3 linked regions of the Arabidopsis thaliana genome follow. The protein of the gene in region 1 interacts with the protein of each later gene in a pairwise test. Each region holds a gene or a part of one and is shown on either strand. Other genes may lie near its edges.

Region 1 (5,188 bases):
GAGACAGCTGAAACACAGTCGCAAACGAAACAGATTACAAACAGTAATCTAGAAGATATGAGCTTAATCCCTGAGTTTCTCTATCCAGAACTACAGAAATGATCTTAAGAAGGTTCTAATTATGATCAGATCCACCAACCACATTACAGTTAATGCATTCAAACTCAACAAAATCTTCATATGCAGTACAAATAAACAATCAAACCTAACACTCGCGAAATTCAGTAAAATCAGCACCGAACGAGGAAGAGGAAAGACTTACGACTTCAGGCTCCAATTGAGAAATGATTCGAACTCCATCCTTGTTAACACGTAGATCTCCATCCTTAAACGTACCGCTTTGAGTCCTACAGAGAGAACCAAAACCTTTCCTCCTTCAAAAACAAAACCAGAGACATTTCCACACACAAATACATCTATCTATCCACAGATCCATGGAGAAAGAGAGATCGAGAAACATACAGGAATTTGGTGATGGATTGCTCGCCAGCAACAGGAATTGCGAGCTTGAGATTATTGCTGAATCCACCTTTCTTCATCGTCTTCGTCTACTTCGTTCTTCGCTTCTTCCTTTTTGTTGTTTCCTCGTCATTATATATTAAGTAAAACACAGTTTTAAGCATAATTCATGTACTTTTCAGCCAGAAATTGGAATTTGGAAATAAAACAGCCATTAATTAATATTAGTCAAGCACATGTTCACGACGTTGACCAACGACTTAGAGACTTTCCCATTTACTACTTCTTTTTCCCGGTTTTCTTTGACCGAAAAGTTTTAATCCACATTTTAACCGGAAACAAACCGGTTAATTCAGTGATTCTTCGTTCTTTAGCTTTTGGTTTTTAAACACTCCCAAAATCACCACTACAACAAAACGCTAACGCAGAATGCCAAACTAACGTTTGATATTTATAGAAAGTTTTCAATATTTCAAATATTGTTTGATCAAATACAATAAACACATATAACAAACAGTAAAATCTTTACTTATGTTTCTCGGTTTCATGTTTGAAGATAACAAGGTTTTCTTCAACAAGGAATATACAAATAAGCATACACCCCTATATTTGTTTTACTCATGTATACATTCAATTACACATCGAAATTATCACACAAAGAAAAATTGTTTCGAATTGATTAATCTATCTATCAGTATACTTCATGTCTAGTCTCTATAACCAACAAGAACATGCTATTCTTCAACATTGTCTATATATTATAAGCCCTATATACATTATATAGTCACAGACTCAGAGAGGCTCCACAAACGATTTCCCCAAACATAATCCTATCACAAATTGCGGGGGGCAAGAGCTACTAGAGGCAATGATCATGAGGTTCGTTCATATCTCCATCATGTTGAAGGAGAATTTCGAAAGAAGCTTAGGAATTTGCGACATGATCGGCCCATAAGTCTGCAACGCATAAATGAAACATCACAACACATAATTAAATACAGCTTGATTGACTGACCCTGTTAGTTTTACCAGGAACATCGATTAAAAGTTCACGATGAGTTAAGGGCAATGCAAGTAAGATAGTACATACCTTTTCATTTTCATGGAGTTGACACAATGGAACAGCGAGGAGTTTGAAGTTCTTAGGCACAACAAACTGTTGATGTACCGGTAATCTCACAAGAAAAAGCTTTGTGCATTCCTACACAAAAGATGAGGATAGAGCAGAGCTTTTAGTATAAGCGCAAATCTTCAAAAGTCTCAACTTTTTCTTACAATGAAAGTGAAACTAACTAACCAACCTTTGGGTGTTTAATATTAGGTGGCAAGAAAGGATACATCAATGTCTCAAAGTTGGGTCTCCACCACATCCCAATACATTCTCCTACCTACAACAATGTTGTAATTAGAGAGACCATTCTTAAGCCAGAAACAATCAGATACAAAAGCACTTTAACAAGAAGCCATAGTTCCTACCTCATAACCCGAAACACCCACATTTTCGTTAACCGATAGCTTTGATGCTAGTTTCCGTTTTAGACCTTCAATATCTAGAAGATTAAGGAGAAACATGACTTTAGCGTTTAGAATTGAGACAGCGATATTTATGCATAAAGATGCAAGGAAACAGCATACTAAACCTGATTCTCCAGGTCTCAAACGACCACCAGGAAGCTTGAAAATGGAGTTTCTATATTGAAGAAGCAAAACATGAGGATGCTTGAACAACTCAACCTGATGTGTCCCAACATTAGATTTTAATCAATCCTTTCAAACCAATTTTCCCTGTAAAACTTTTCAAAATCCCTAATTTGGCTACCAACTATAAAATTACCAGAAGAACAGCTTCAACGCAAGTTCTCAATCCATGAGCAGCATAACTTCAAAAGAAACAAAAAAGAAACTTTAGCTATAGATTAAAACAATAAGAAAAAAACCAGATGATCTAAATCACATCAAAACTCGATTTACTTGGATTTCAATCTGATGACTCGATCAGAGATAATCTCGTCCTTGACGCGAAGAGCTTCTTTTGAACCGAAGTAGTAGCTGCTAAGCGGGTATAAATCAACCATCAAGTCATGAACGACATCGTTTCGTCTCGTCGTGTTGTCACTGATCTCCTCCATATCTAACGCTCGAGCTTCTTCACCCATTTTCTGCCCGTAAAATTCAAAGACGAGAGCTAAAAGCGATCTCAATCGATTAAAATTAAATAACAGAGAGACCACGAGAGCAGAGAAGACGCAAGAAGAAGAGTGAAGAAAGGTGTCGTAGTCGGATCACTGAGACGTGGCGGCTCCAGAGAGTACTTCTCCGCAATTAGCTGACGACGGCGGGAGAGTGAGGAAGAAGATATTAATGGGCCTGTTACGATATTAATGGGCCTTTAGTAGTAAACAAGAATACGGAACGATGTTAAACACTCTATTGTTTCCAACTACTAAAAACGACGCGAGTTTCTATTTTATAACTAAAAAACGAGAATCAAAGTCTCTGTTTCAAATTTGGGTCTTTTGCTTCTTCTTGCTCACTTGAGGAAACACAGTAAAAACCTAAAAAGAGAATGAAACTCGCAGGTCTGAAATCGATCGAGAACGCTCACGAAGATTCCGTTTGGGCAGCGACGTGGGTTCCGGCGACGGAAGATCGACCGGCGTTGCTTCTGACTGGATCTCTTGACGAGACGGTGAAGTTATGGCGACCGGACGAGCTGGATCTTGTGCGGACTAATACTGGACACTCTTTGGGAGTAGCAGCTTTGGCTGCGCATCCTTCTGGGATTATTGCAGCATCTTCTTCGATTGATAGCTTTGTCCGTGTGTTTGATGTTGATACTAATGCTACGATTGCTGTTTTGGAAGCTCCTCCTTCTGAGGTTTGGGGAATGCAATTTGAACCTAAGGTAATTGACTCAATGAGATTGCCTCCAATTTTAGGGTTTTGAAGGATTTTGGGTTGTTTTGTGGTGAAAGAATTCGATTGCTTCATTGAATTTCACTTCTTAGTTGCGAGTAATGCTTCTCCTGATCTATATAACAATGCTTGGGTACTATATGGAATTGCTGAGTATCGTTTGAATCTGTAGCTCTGATCAGATAGGGTCATCTACTCTGCTCGGAAAATAGATCTAGATCATCTTCTGATTTTTCATTGAGTCTTATATAGTAGATTAAGAACAATTTATTGGTGCTTTGATGATAAATCTTGATTTGGTATGATAGAATTTTGACCTGGTGACTATCAAGTATCAGTGCAATGATCTCTCTTTTAGTTTGCAGTGGAGTTTTTATTTGCTTCTGAGCTTATAATTTCAACATTACTCTTTAGAATGGTGCTCTGCTAACATAGTATTTTACATGTTCCAAGGGTACGATCCTTGCTGTTGCAGGTGGAAGTAGTGCCTCAGTCAAGCTTTGGGACACTGCAAGCTGGAGATTAATCTCAACTCTATCAATCCCACGCCCAGATGCACCAAAACCTTCCGATAAAACCAGCAGCAAGAAATTCGTTCTCTCGGTGGCTTGGTCTCCTAATGGGAAACGACTTGCTTGTGGTTCAATGGATGGTACGATCTGTGTTTTTGATGTTGACCGCTCAAAGCTACTTCACCAGCTAGAAGGTCACAATATGCCTGTAAGGTCCCTTGTGTTCTCCCCTGTAGACCCGAGAGTCCTCTTCTCTGGATCAGATGATGGGCATGTGAACATGCACGATGCAGAAGGGAAAACGCTGTTGGGGTCCATGTCAGGGCACACGAGTTGGGTGCTGAGCGTTGATGCTAGCCCAGACGGTGGAGCCATAGCAACCGGCTCAAGCGATAGAACTGTGAGGCTATGGGATCTTAAAATGAGAGCTGCGATTCAGACAATGAGCAACCACAATGACCAGGTTTGGTCTGTGGCCTTTAGACCACCAGGTGGAACCGGTGTCCGGGCTGGTCGACTTGCTAGTGTCTCTGATGACAAGAGTGTATCGCTCTATGATTACTCATGAACAATTCGGTTTTTTGACTTTTTTCTTTTATGCATTCTCCAAGACGCATCTAGTTGTAACAATATAATCTGCAACAGGTTGATTTTGACCGGAGTCTTTAGATTTATCGCTTACACAAAAAACAAAGAAGATAAAATGATTCAAACTTTGCGATAGAACTTTATTGGAAAACTGAGAAACAGATAAAGATCACAGAGAGATGAGTTGAAGAGTAACGCAAACAAACGTCTAAAAGTTTTCAAAAAACAAAACAGCTAAAGATTATGGTCTTGTCTCTTATGACGTAAGTGTATTACTTCCTAAGTAACTCTTGAGAACATCCATGACAGCTCCGAAATCTGCTTTCACATCAACAGGAGGATTGGAGAATCTGCAAGCCATGTCAGGGATGGCATTGGAGTGATAATCTATCTTAGACTGAGTAAACTTCAACCCATGAGCAGTACTCACTACCACAGTTCGATCAGTCGGTGCAATCACTCCTTGATTCCTCAGCTTGAACAGAGCAGTTAGAGCAACACCTGTATGAGGACAGATAAACATTCCTGTCGAATCCGCTTGAGCCATCGCATCCATCAGCTCCTCCTCTGTGGCTTCTTCTACAATACCATTGCACTTCTTGAGAGCGTACACAGCTCTATCGATGGAGACAGGGTCACCGATCTGAATCGCAGAGGCGAAAGTGGTACTTGCAGTCATGGGCTTGAAGTCCTTCCAACCAGACTTGTAGTGC
Region 2 (5,080 bases), on another chromosome or scaffold:
ATGCAATCTGTGCATAGTAATCCTAATAACAAGACTCGAGCCTTGAAATGAGACTAACTAACCCCTTTGTTTAACAGCTCAAATATTAGGAGTTTGATTACACGATTGGTTTATTTAAGTTTCATTTCTCTTATTTTCTTTGTCGCCTTCAATATTATTGAGTAAGGTGATGGGATTTATTTGCAGCAAGAGAAGGAGAATTGCTGCTTAAATGTTGAATTTGTCTCATATTTTTCTAGCAAGTCAAAATTTCAATCTATGGAAAGTTAATTGTTAGCAAGTGAAGCTCTCTTATCTTCTTCAGCTTTCGTTGATTTTAAACTGAACTAAACCGTTTTAAGTTGGTTGAATTTGAATCATATAGGTTTTAATGTTGTCGAAGACATGAAATTGATGTGATAGAAAAAGAAAGGCAGGACATTCTTAATGTATGTATTGTTAATTTTAGTGGTTAGAGAGTGAGGTGTGTTAGGTACCCAATAGAGAAAGTGATGGTTAGGAGCAAATAAATGGGATTTTATGAAAGGAATTGAAGATGATGATCATGAATTTATGAAGAAAGGGGTCCATTTTGATATGCTTTTGTAGCAAAAAATAGCTTTTTGTGCACAACTGTCTTCTCCTTTTAGCCTTAACTTTGTTTTAAAGTTCTCTTTTTTTTGGCATAACTTTCTTTTAAAGTTGTTATAAATTGATTGAATCTTTTGATATTAGACTTCAATATATGTAACGTACATGGATGTATGATAATGACAACGTTTTGGAAGAGGAAGCAAAGCTTTAAAGTAGTATCACCAGATTGAGACAATCAAAATTTCTGAAAATGAAAACGTTAAGTTGTTGAGCTATAACCTCAAAGCATAACCAAATTGTCGGATCAAGATTTGGATTTGGAAAAAGTCTCTTTCATATAACCAACAAGACATTAAAAGAGAGATCACAGTGAATAAAACTAAAAAGATTCACACCATACGATATCAACGCTTGAACTGCCTAATGGCACAACAAAAACCATTACAAACATGTGACAGTAAAAAAAACACTCATGGGCGACAAAACTCAGAAGATCGTTTTAAGGATGTCTATAGCAAGAAGAAGAGAAGATGTGTATGGCTATGGCCTAATGGTTAGGCAAAGATTCTATTTACAAGTTTCTATTCCTTTGCTATGGCTCTACGGCAACAAGGACAATCTCCACAAGCTCTAAGCCAAGGGTTTAAGCAAGAAGAATGGAAACTATGGGTACAGGGTAAGGATATTAGCATGTCACCTTTAGTGAAACTCTCTAAACATATGCTACAATCTCTCATCTCGGATTTAACCTCGGCTGAGCTAAAAGTTTGCCGGTGTAAACAGTTAATAGCATCTTGAGTAAGACCTTGTGGTTTCTTGTTGCATTCATAGGTCACTTGAAGCCCTGCTAGTTGAAAAATTGGATCTCCATCTATAGAATGAAATGAAGACTCCCTTTGATCATCCAATGAAACTCTGTTGCTTCGACTGAATCAGAAAAACAAAGTTGAAACAAATCCGTAACCAAATTTTGAAAAAGAGGCTTCAAAGAAGATATTAAAGAATACACAAAGCAACAATAATCCACAAAAACTGATTTTTACACTAAGTCTTGACCAATCCTCACAAGAAACAAGAGCAAAATCAAAACATGCTTCAAAGAATCTTGATCAGACAAAAGCAATTATTTTTAAAGAAATCTAAAATCAGACTAGAGTGCAGATCAAGTAAAGCTGTAAAATTTATCAGTGGGTTAAGCACAGACCTGTTACTAGACAAAGAAACACCTCTCAATCTTTCGAAAAGTCTATCCCTTGCAAGCAGAACAGCTCCAGGAAGCCTCTCGGATCCATTTAGGTTAACAAAGCTGCTACTCTGAGTTTCAGTATCAGTACTATCCGTATTTAAATACTGACTAGTGCCTTGAACATCACGAATAGGTCTACTACGTTCCTGAATCTGTAAATTAGGGGAGATTTTAGTAAAAAGGACCAAATTCAGACAACTACTGAAATTAGTAATTACTAATTTGGTGGAAAGTAACTAACCGGATGGTGAAAGAAGCGTCGGAGACGGGGAGTGGGTCGCCGGAGAGGATCACAGCCGTCGGAATCATGACGCTGATTATGATGATGGACGCCGTGACGGCGATGATGATGGTGTGAGTGGTGTCGATAGGAAGAAGTGTCGGATTCTAAAGCCGGGTCGGATCGACCCGGACGTGATCTTCGTGTAGAGAAGAGTTCCGATGCGCTCGTCATGCACCGATCAATCACCAAATTCGTTTATATGATCTGAAACTAAGTGCAGCGAGTCAGAGACGATGAGATAAGGAGGACAGAGAGAGAGAAGAGAGAAAATTGCGAGGAAAAAGTAAAGGGAAACTGCAGTGAAAAGGTGACGTCATCTCCCACTTGCTGTCGGAGCTAAGACAAAACATCTTTAAAAACGGTGTCGCTGTAATAAAAAACTAAGGGGAAAAGCCCAATTATTGGGCCTATCCAAGTAAAGTCCACTAATACATAGGTCCCAAGAAAACGGGGAGAGCATTATGAAACACTAAACTGAATAAATGGAGAAATTGACGGAAAAAAAGGGAAAAAATGTTGTTTAATATACCAACTTTCAAAAAGTGGCCATTTAAACTATGAACTCCATATATGGCCAAATAAAACTTAGTAAAAGCGTTGATCGGCCATTTTATATATTCCAAAACATTGATCCGGCCAAAAACCCTGCGACGTTAGCAGTCGTTAATAGAGTCGATAATAGGCGTTAGCAGACGTTAATTAATCCGTTTAAACACAAACGACGTCGTTTTGTGTTTAATCGAAACCAACAAAATTCCCAATTCGATTCTCAATCCCTAAAATCCCCAATTCCAATTCTCATGCCCTAAAATTCCCAAATTCAAAAATCTTCAAAAGCCTCTCCATTTTTGTTCGTTTGAAGATTTTTGTGTTTAAACGGATTAATTAACGCCTGCTAACGCCTGTTATCGACTCTGTTAACGACTGCTAACGTCGCAGGATTTTTGGCCTGGTCAACGTTTTGAGATGTATAAAATGGTCGGTCAACGCTTTTACTAAGTTTTATTTGGCCATATATGGAGTTCATGGTTTAAATGGCCACTTTTTGAAAGTTGGTGTATTAAACAACATTTTTCCCGAAAAAAAATGAATAAATGGAGAAACTATTGATTAGTTAGTTGCTTAACTCAAATCTAATTGTTAATGTACTAGTTGCAGTATACAAGTTGGTTCTAGATAAAATTTTCCTCTTTTAATTTTGTTTTTTTATTGCCACTTTGTTAATTAACTCATTTATTAGTTGTTATTTAGTTGCTTTCACCCTTTATCAAACGATTGGAGCATAGTTTCACATAAATTTCCGATTTGGTTAAACAAACTCTCCGATTTAGTTCATCGAATTCGCAGATGTGAGCACCGTCGGTGTAGATGATGATGATCACGGCGGATAAGAGACGAGCTTCTTTGGTTTTCTTCTACTTAATGATCTAGATGACGGTTGATGATGATCGATTCGTAATCATCATCGGATTTTACGAGAGAAAAGAGAAAAAAAATACACGGGAAAAAAAATTAATGTTCTTTCCTCACATTACCGAACCTATGAAACATGATAGGTATGGGCCTCTTTCCAAACAAAAAATGTTCTTAGCTAAAGTGAGTTCCATCCACTTCATCACATTTTTTCTTTAAATGTTGGCTTTTTTCTAAGGGCTTCAGACCACCGTTAACGATAGTTGTTTAATAGAATTCTTAACAATTAAAAAAATAAAAATAATTAAAAGTTAAAAAAAGAGAGAGAATGAGAAATTCCAAAAACTCTTAGCTAAGAGACGATATCACAAACCCAAAGACACGTTCATCTTTATTATTGGTCTATCTATATAAAATATTTAAAATATAACTGTAAAATTAAAATATTATTATTTTTATCCTTTTATAAATTTTCATAGCATACTGGCGTTGAGGATGGTCTCACCTCTCTAGAGCTCATCTAGAATCACCGTTGGAGGTTGTCTGAGTTTCCTAAGAAAGCGGGAGATCATTATAATTATGAAACACTAAAATTTTATAAATGGAGCAATTATTGATTAGTTAGTTTACTTAACTCAAATGTCAAATCTAATAGTCTATGTACTAGTAGATGCAGTATAAAAAGTTGGTTCTAGATAAAATTTCCCTCTTTTAATTCGTTTTTTTATTGCCACTTTGTTAATTAACTCATTTCTGGTTGTTATTGACTTAGTTTCACCCTTTATTAAAACTCTAGAGAGTCTGACAGGTATTTAATACTTAATCTAAACTATACTATCATTTATCGATCGATGACCAACTCTTAGAAGGCATTTAACATTTACACCCAAAAAAAAAACTCTTAGAAGGCCGAAAGGTTATTGATTATTACATATACTTTTTCACAACTATAAATACGGAGATCACAATAGGACTCATCACCCAATAATATAACTAATCTAGTAAATAGACAAAGAAAACAACATGGCTGATTCTAAGATGAAGCTCCACTGTGGCTTTATCTGGGGTAATTCGGCAGCTCTCTTTTGTATCAATGAGAAAGGTCTTGACTTTGAGCTTGTCTTCGTAGATTGGCTTGCTGGTGAAGCCAAAACCAAAACTTTTCTCTCTACTCTCAACGTATAATCTCTCACACTTAACTCTTAACTGTTTGCATCTACCAAATTTATTTAACTTCATATGTGTTTGAATGAACAATCATTCTCTTCTTTTCTTGCAGCCATTTGGTGAAGTCCCGGTTCTTGAAGATGGAGATCTCAAACTTTTCGGTACTATAATCTTGTTTCTTATTCTGGAATTTTATTTGAAGTCTTGGATTTGAATGTGGAGGTTTTGCAAAAGGTTACATAATTATTACCTTTTCATAAGTTTCTTTGTTACCATATTTTTGCGAAATTTTTATAGTGTTTTGATTATGCATATAGAACCAAAGGCGATCACGCGATACCTAGCCGAGCAATACAAAGACGTTGGAACAAATCTATTACCAGATGATCCCAAAAAGA
Region 3 (6,699 bases), on another chromosome or scaffold:
CTTTTCTTCTTTCATCTACAGCATTGGACATCAATACAAGAATTACTGAAACATTTTTGGTCATCTTATCCGATAACAACCACATATCTTCATACCAAGGTAATGTTATTGCAATTTTCAAATCTCCCAGTCCCAGAAATTGCTATATATATTGATTCCTAGGCTTTCACGGGAAATTTAATCTTATTATACACCAAGAGCAAGTTATTATACCAAATATTTTTCGTCGATTCTTGTGATGTTATATTATTATCATGCAGGTTGGTAAACTGAAGGATGCAATGTCCAATACATATTCAAAACTTGAGGTAAGCTTTGAAATTCTTCATCTTTCTGACAGAATAAGCAACTGATAGTAAATCTGCTATGTTAAAACAGTAGTTCCTAATCATACCAATGCGTTTACGAAAATGAAATTTTTGGGTAAATAAAATTGATGCAGTATTGTAGTCGAATCTTATTTGCATATATATGGTCAACTGTACGGTTTCCTTGATATTAAACTCCATGTAACTCAGGCAATGAAAGAGTCGGTGCAATCTGATCTCCGGCATCAGGTTTCTCTACTGGTTCGTCCAATGCAACAGGTTAGCTTCTTCCAATATCTACGGAAGAGTTTTATACTTTTATTACATCATGTCTCGGTTAAGTCTATATTTTCCACTCATATTGCATCTATATCCAGTTTCTACAGCCTTGCATTGTAATCCGGTTTGAAAATTGATCTTAATCGGTTTTCTCTGCTAGGCTCTTGACGCTGCGTTCCATCACTACGAAGTGGATCTGCAGAGAAGAACAGCTAAGAGCGGCGAAAGACCAAACGGCTACGTATAGAGGACAAAAAAACTAAAACTAAAAAGCTTTGCAAGATCTTTGAATTGTTTCATCAGCCTTGGTTGGTGTTTTTGAAAATCTTCATTTGTCCCTTTTTGTCCGACCATTGAGATACAAAAATGCGTTTATATTGTAGTAATATTTTCTTTTCTTTTTTTTGTTAATTAGGCGTTATATTGTTAACTGCGAGAGACAACAAAGAGATTTTCTCGATCTGAACATTTTTAAGTTTGCAATGTATTAGTAAATTCTCTACAGGCTTTGAGGACGTTACTACAGCTCCAAGAAAGCTCTCAGTGCCATAATTGTTTGGTTATTTGGTTACTGGTGAATATTTATAATAATGGGACAATAATAGAGAAAATGCTTCGATGGCGTAGTAGATTTCAATGTTTGAATCGCATCAAACAACAATCCAAATTAGAAATATATAAAATTCAACATAAAACTTTTTTTGACATAGCATTCATGGATAACTTTTGATTTGAATGATTAATTTACTCATTGTGAGGAAAAAAATAAAAACAGATAAAGTTACTCATTGCTTGTCATATTGACATGACATACAAAATTCAAGCTCCATAAGTAAAGCTATAAAGAAAAAGAAAAGGGGGACTCTCCACTTTTAGGTTTCATATAAACTCGTTAACTAGAGATTGGGTTTTGATTAAGCACGATATAATATATATGGCCGAAAAAGCCTTTTGGTTAGTTTACTTGGCTCACGTTTTCGTCTTCATATTTTCCTGTGGACTTGTCTTCTCCTTCTAGATAACTTGCATATTCTTCTCTTGACATATTCGATTTTGTTTTCTCCTCTAAACATTGGTGAGTTTAGGTTTTCTTTGTGTTGAAGTTACTTATTTCCAGACACAGCCACAGAGGTATCGATATTTACTTGGTTCATAAGTTGATCGATATTTACTTGGTTCATAAGTTGTTGCATTGGTAATAGATGTGTGACCTTTATTTGAGAACAAACCGTCCAATGGTCGTGCATATGGTGGGCCTTGTACCAGAGAGATCTGCGCCGCTCTATTAATGATCACTGACATACCACTAGTAGATCTTTTCGCATGCAAATATATTTTATATTATTTTCTTTGTTAAAAGATTTTTCCTAGTATTATCATATGAGTAATTAATGTTTGTCCTTTAGCTTTCACTATAAAAACGCATATTATTATCGATAGTAAACATCCCAAATGTTCGGTTCATAGCATTTTCGATTTTCATATTTGAAAGGTAGAGAATCTTTTATATTTAACAAATTACAACTTTACAAGCATTGTAGTGAGGTTATATTTATACATGGTGCATCAAATAGATATAGGAGGATTAGTTTGCGATTTCAATGATTAAACCCAAAAAAGAACGACAAGAATAAAGTAAACTTAAACATCATATTCGAAATGAATCATATCCGTCTATGAATAATTATGTCAACTATTCAGCATTTACAATCACGCCAAACAATTGACACGTTATTCTCTAATCATAATATTGGTTACAAGAAATAGAAATTCACCGAATTACCTTTCCAAATTTTGTTCAAATAAATGTACGTATCTTATTATACTAATTTTATTTTGCATTTTCGTGTCCGCTAGATATGAACACGTCATCGATAACGTTCTATAAATATCATTCCTCTTGTCCAACTAATTAACTCACTCTCGAGAGTAGCGTGAGTCTTGAGGTTTCATTATTATTTTTTTGTTTTCCCTACAAGGAAGTAACAATGACCGTTGGTGCCGGAATCAGCGTCACCGACTCAGATTTGGTGGTGCTAGGTCACCGTGTTCTTCACGGCGTTCCGGAGAATGTCTTAGTTACCCCAGCTTCGGGAAACGCCTTAATCGACGGCGCGTTCATCGGCGTCACGTCAGATCAAACCGGAAGCCACCGTGTCTTCTCCCTTGGCAAACTCGAGTACTGTTCAAAATCCCTTTCCTACACTTTTGTTGTTAGATGTCACATAATTTGTTGAATTACTTGAGGCTTAGGGTATAAATGTTTTTTTTTTCCTTGGCAGAGACCTAAGGTTTATGTGTGTCTTCCGGTTTAAATTATGGTGGATGACTCAAAGAATGGGGACTAATGGGAAAGAGATTCCTTGTGAGACTCAGTTTCTAATCGTAGAAGCAAACCAAGGTTCTGATTTAGGAGGAAGAGATCAATCTTCTTCGTACGTTGTATTCTTACCTATACTTGAAGGAGATTTTAGAGCTGTTCTTCAAGGGAACGAGGCTAATGAGCTAGAGATTTGTCTTGAAAGTGGTAAGTTGACACAGCTAGCTAGATTTGAGTTGAATTTTTTTTGTTAGATTCTCTCTGAGATTTATATGGTTTTTGTATGGTCAAGGTGATCCAACCGTTGACCAATTCGAAGGGAGTCATTTGGTTTTTGTGGCTGCTGGCTCCGACCCTTTTGATGTCATTACCAAAGCTGTCAAGTATGTAATGTTTCTCAAGTCTCAACTTAAGACTTCTTTATGTCCAAATTTTTTTAGGGTTAAGAATCTTTGCCTTTCAATGATTATGCAGGGCTGTTGAACAACATCTTCAAACATTTTCACACCGAGAGAGAAAGAAAGTAAGGAAACATTGAGACGTTTTATGTGATCTTTGATTATATACATACCAAAATTAACTCTGAAAATTTCCCCTGTTTTGGTTGTGTTCAGATGCCAGATATGTTGAATTGGTTTGGTTGGTGCACTTGGGATGCATTCTATACCAATGTCACAGCCAAAGACGTCAAGCAAGGACTTGAGAGGTTCTCCTGAGTCTTTACTTTTGAAGATGGCTTTAGTAACTGTGACTTAACCAAACCTGCACTGATTCTCTGTAGCCTCAAAGCTGGTGGGGTTACCCCAAAGTTTGTCATAATTGATGATGGATGGCAATCTGTTGGCATGGATGAGACCAGTGTAGAATTCAACGCTGATAATGCTGCCAAGTAAGTAATTAAGCTCTCTTAATTCTGATTTAAGTTCTTTCTTTAGTCTTAATAAACCACTCTTTATCTTTTGTGCTTACCTTCAGTTTTGCAAACCGGTTAACTCACATCAAGGAGAATCATAAGTTTCAAAAGGATGGCAAAGAAGGCCACCGGGTGGATGACCCTTCATTGAGTCTTGGACATGTTATCACAGACATTAAGAGTAATAATTCGCTCAAGTATGTTTATGTTTGGCATGCGATAACAGGATATTGGGGAGGAGTCAAACCAGGTGTTTCTGGTATGGAACACTACGAATCCAAGGTTGCGTATCCAGTTTCTTCACCAGGAGTTATGTCCAGTGAGAATTGTGGATGTTTAGAAAGCATAACTAAGAATGGACTTGGTTTGGTGAATCCTGAGAAAGTCTTTAGCTTCTATAATGATCTTCACTCATACCTTGCATCCGTTGGGGTCGATGGTGTCAAAGTAGACGTCCAAAACATTCTTGAAACTCTTGGAGCTGGACATGGTGGTCGTGTCAAACTTGCAAAGAAGTATCACCAGGCTTTGGAAGCTTCTATTTCAAGAAACTTCCCTGACAATGGTATTATCTCTTGCATGAGTCATAACACAGATGGTCTCTACAGGTTAGCTTCTGGACCTACAACGTTGTTCTCATTGATATTTATCCATAATTATTACTATCCCTTCTAATTTCTTCTTGTAATGATACTTTAGCGCAAAAAAGACTGCTGTTATAAGAGCATCAGACGATTTCTGGCCTAGAGACCCCGCTTCACACACGATCCACATTGCTTCTGTTGCATATAACACACTTTTCCTTGGAGAGTTTATGCAGCCGGACTGGGACATGTTTCATGTACGTTGAATTGCTTTAACAAACTTTTCTGAACTTGTGAATGAATCTATCTGTTTCTCATTGCAGAGTTTGCATCCGATGGCTGAATATCATGCTGCAGCTCGCGCGGTTGGAGGATGTGCCATATATGTCAGGTAATCACAAGATTCAATACCATTTGACAAACAAATTATCATAGTAAAATGAGCTGCAAGTAAGTAACTCTAGATCCATTCAAACTTGTTAAACAGCGACAAACCGGGACAACATGACTTCAACCTTTTAAGAAAGCTAGTACTTCGAGACGGTTCCATACTCAGAGCAAAGCTTCCCGGAAGACCAACCAGTGATTGCTTCTTCAGTGATCCAGTCAGAGACAATAAAAGGTATCTCGTTTTCCTTTACTTGGAAGAGAAGAAAGCTTAAATCTTAACTAACTGTTGTATTATACTTTGCAAGTCTTCTGAAAATATGGAACCTGAACGAATTCACTGGCGTTATTGGAGTTTTCAACTGCCAAGGCGCTGGATGGTGTAAGAACGAGAAGAGATACCTAATCCATGACCAAGAACCTGGGACCATTTCTGGTTGTGTCCGAACCAATGATGTTCATTATCTTCATAAAGTAGCAGCCTTTGAATGGACAGGAGATTCCATTGTCTATTCCCATCTCAGAGGTAGTACACAAACTCAAACATCAGTCTAAATTACTCTGATTATACTAAAACCTTCACTTTTTTTTTCCTTTTCTATCAGGAGAGTTAGTGTATCTCCCAAAAGATACATCTTTACCAGTGACATTGATGCCACGTGAATACGAAGTTTTCACGGTGGTTCCGGTGAAGGAATTTTCCGATGGAAGTAAATTTGCACCGGTGGGGCTTATGGAGATGTTTAATTCTGGAGGAGCCATTGTGAGTTTAAGATACGATGACGAGGGGACTAAATTTGTCGTTAGGATGAAACTTCGAGGCAGTGGTTTGGTTGGTGTTTACTCGTCCGTTCGACGACCACGAAGTGTTACGGTGGATTCAGACGACGTGGAGTACCGGTATGAACCGGAATCCGGTTTAGTTACGTTTACTTTAGGAGTTCCGGAGAAAGAATTGTATCTGTGGGACGTGGTCATCCAATAATTATTGATCTGTATAATTGTATCAGTTCTGTATTGATTTGTTGGTTAATCTGTATGGGTTATCGACCAGACCAATACAAATCAAACAGATTGGTCCGTGTTCGTTTTGATATAATAATACAAAAAAAAAATGTTTGTTGTATGGCTTAGCATGCATTAGTGTAATCATTTTCTTCCTTCTTATTTATCATCAACGGTGTAAAATCTGTAAAATGTTATGGTGCAAATTTAGTTGTCCACAAGAGAACAACCAGACGACTATGTAATCATATCTGTAGATAGTAGTAGACTAGTAGATCCGTGCATTTTTAGCAATACTTCCACTAATAAAACTCGCAAATTAAAGCATTCTTAATTACTCTGAAAATGACTTCTACACACACCCTAAATGTTTTTATAGAAAATTTGGTTTTGGTCTAATTATTTTGATTTGGTTCGGTCTAGTAATTGATCAGTTTATGATATTTTTTGAAAGGATTTTTTTTTTTTTTTGGTCGTCTTTTGAAAGGAAAATTTTAAGAAATTATAAACGATTTATTTAAGTCCAGAAACGAAAGGGATCGAATCAATGATAAAAAAATTGCCTTAACAAAAAAGTTTTAAAAAAATTGGGATTACTTGATGCGGTCGATAGTTAATTTATTCTGGACTATGGTAACACGTCATGTTTAGGACCACTATGTTTTAACTAAAAACTGATATTAAAATAAAATTTATCGACCGCAATTGCTCTTTTTTTTCTCCTATATTTAAATCTTCACAGTAATTCACAGTTCACATATATTTCAATATTCATTAGTCATAACATTAGAAAGTAACAATATTGAGTCCAAATATTTTTTAAAAATCGGAAATTAGATAAAGTTCCAATAGTCTTTTTTCTTTTCTAAGTCTAAATAAATTCAATTAACTAGTTTCATAAAT

The links.
Region 2: the proteins of CFIM-25 (region 1) and AT1G49850 interact in a two-hybrid assay, tested with the Arabidopsis thaliana proteins (one large-scale study listed by BioGRID).
Region 3: the proteins of CFIM-25 (region 1) and SIP1 interact in a two-hybrid assay, tested with the Arabidopsis thaliana proteins (one large-scale study listed by BioGRID).

The regions. Positions count from the first base shown.
Region 1 is NC_003075.7:14,594,703-14,599,890, forward strand, and holds CFIM-25 (homolog of CFIM-25), read right to left. Parts: upstream 2,815-5,188; 5' UTR 2,616-2,814; coding exon 2,431-2,615; intron 2,340-2,430; coding exon 2,294-2,339; intron 2,194-2,293; coding exon 2,100-2,193; intron 2,010-2,099; coding exon 1,936-2,009; intron 1,848-1,935; coding exon 1,761-1,847; intron 1,661-1,760; coding exon 1,550-1,660; intron 1,417-1,549; coding exon 1,345-1,416; 3' UTR 978-1,344; downstream 1-977. Other genes in the region: MKK2 (MAP kinase kinase 2), read right to left, coding at 1-7, 263-374, 463-539; VIP3 (Transducin/WD40 repeat-like superfamily protein), read left to right, coding at 3,026-3,364, 3,829-4,455; MTO2 (Pyridoxal-5'-phosphate-dependent enzyme family protein), read right to left, coding at 4,732-5,188. UniProt on the Arabidopsis thaliana protein: Component of the cleavage factor Im (CFIm) complex that plays a key role in pre-mRNA 3'-processing. Involved in association with CPSF6 or CPSF7 in pre-MRNA 3'-end poly(A) site cleavage and poly(A) addition.
Region 2 is NC_003070.9:18,454,172-18,459,251, forward strand, and holds AT1G49850 (RING/U-box superfamily protein), read right to left. Parts: upstream 2,449-5,080; 5' UTR 2,274-2,448; coding exon 2,061-2,273; intron 1,972-2,060; coding exon 1,778-1,971; intron 1,501-1,777; coding exon 1,155-1,500; 3' UTR 673-1,154; downstream 1-672. Other genes in the region: GSTF14 (glutathione S-transferase (class phi) 14), read left to right, coding at 4,539-4,694, 4,795-4,843, 5,000-5,080. UniProt on the Arabidopsis thaliana protein: Probable E3 ubiquitin-protein ligase that may possess E3 ubiquitin ligase activity in vitro.
Region 3 is NC_003070.9:20,834,584-20,841,282, reverse strand, and holds SIP1 (seed imbibition 1), read left to right. Parts: upstream 1-2,504; 5' UTR 2,505-2,575; coding exon 2,576-2,766; intron 2,767-2,869; coding exon 2,870-3,114; intron 3,115-3,199; coding exon 3,200-3,290; intron 3,291-3,381; coding exon 3,382-3,430; intron 3,431-3,521; coding exon 3,522-3,613; intron 3,614-3,688; coding exon 3,689-3,796; intron 3,797-3,882; coding exon 3,883-4,428; intron 4,429-4,519; coding exon 4,520-4,661; intron 4,662-4,727; coding exon 4,728-4,795; intron 4,796-4,891; coding exon 4,892-5,026; intron 5,027-5,099; coding exon 5,100-5,317; intron 5,318-5,396; coding exon 5,397-5,776; 3' UTR 5,777-6,027; downstream 6,028-6,699. Other genes in the region: AT1G55750 (BSD domain (BTF2-like transcription factors, Synapse-associated proteins and DOS2-like proteins)), read left to right, coding at 22-99, 261-308, 519-587, 748-834. UniProt on the Arabidopsis thaliana protein: Transglycosidase operating by a ping-pong reaction mechanism. Involved in the synthesis of raffinose, a major soluble carbohydrate in seeds, roots and tubers.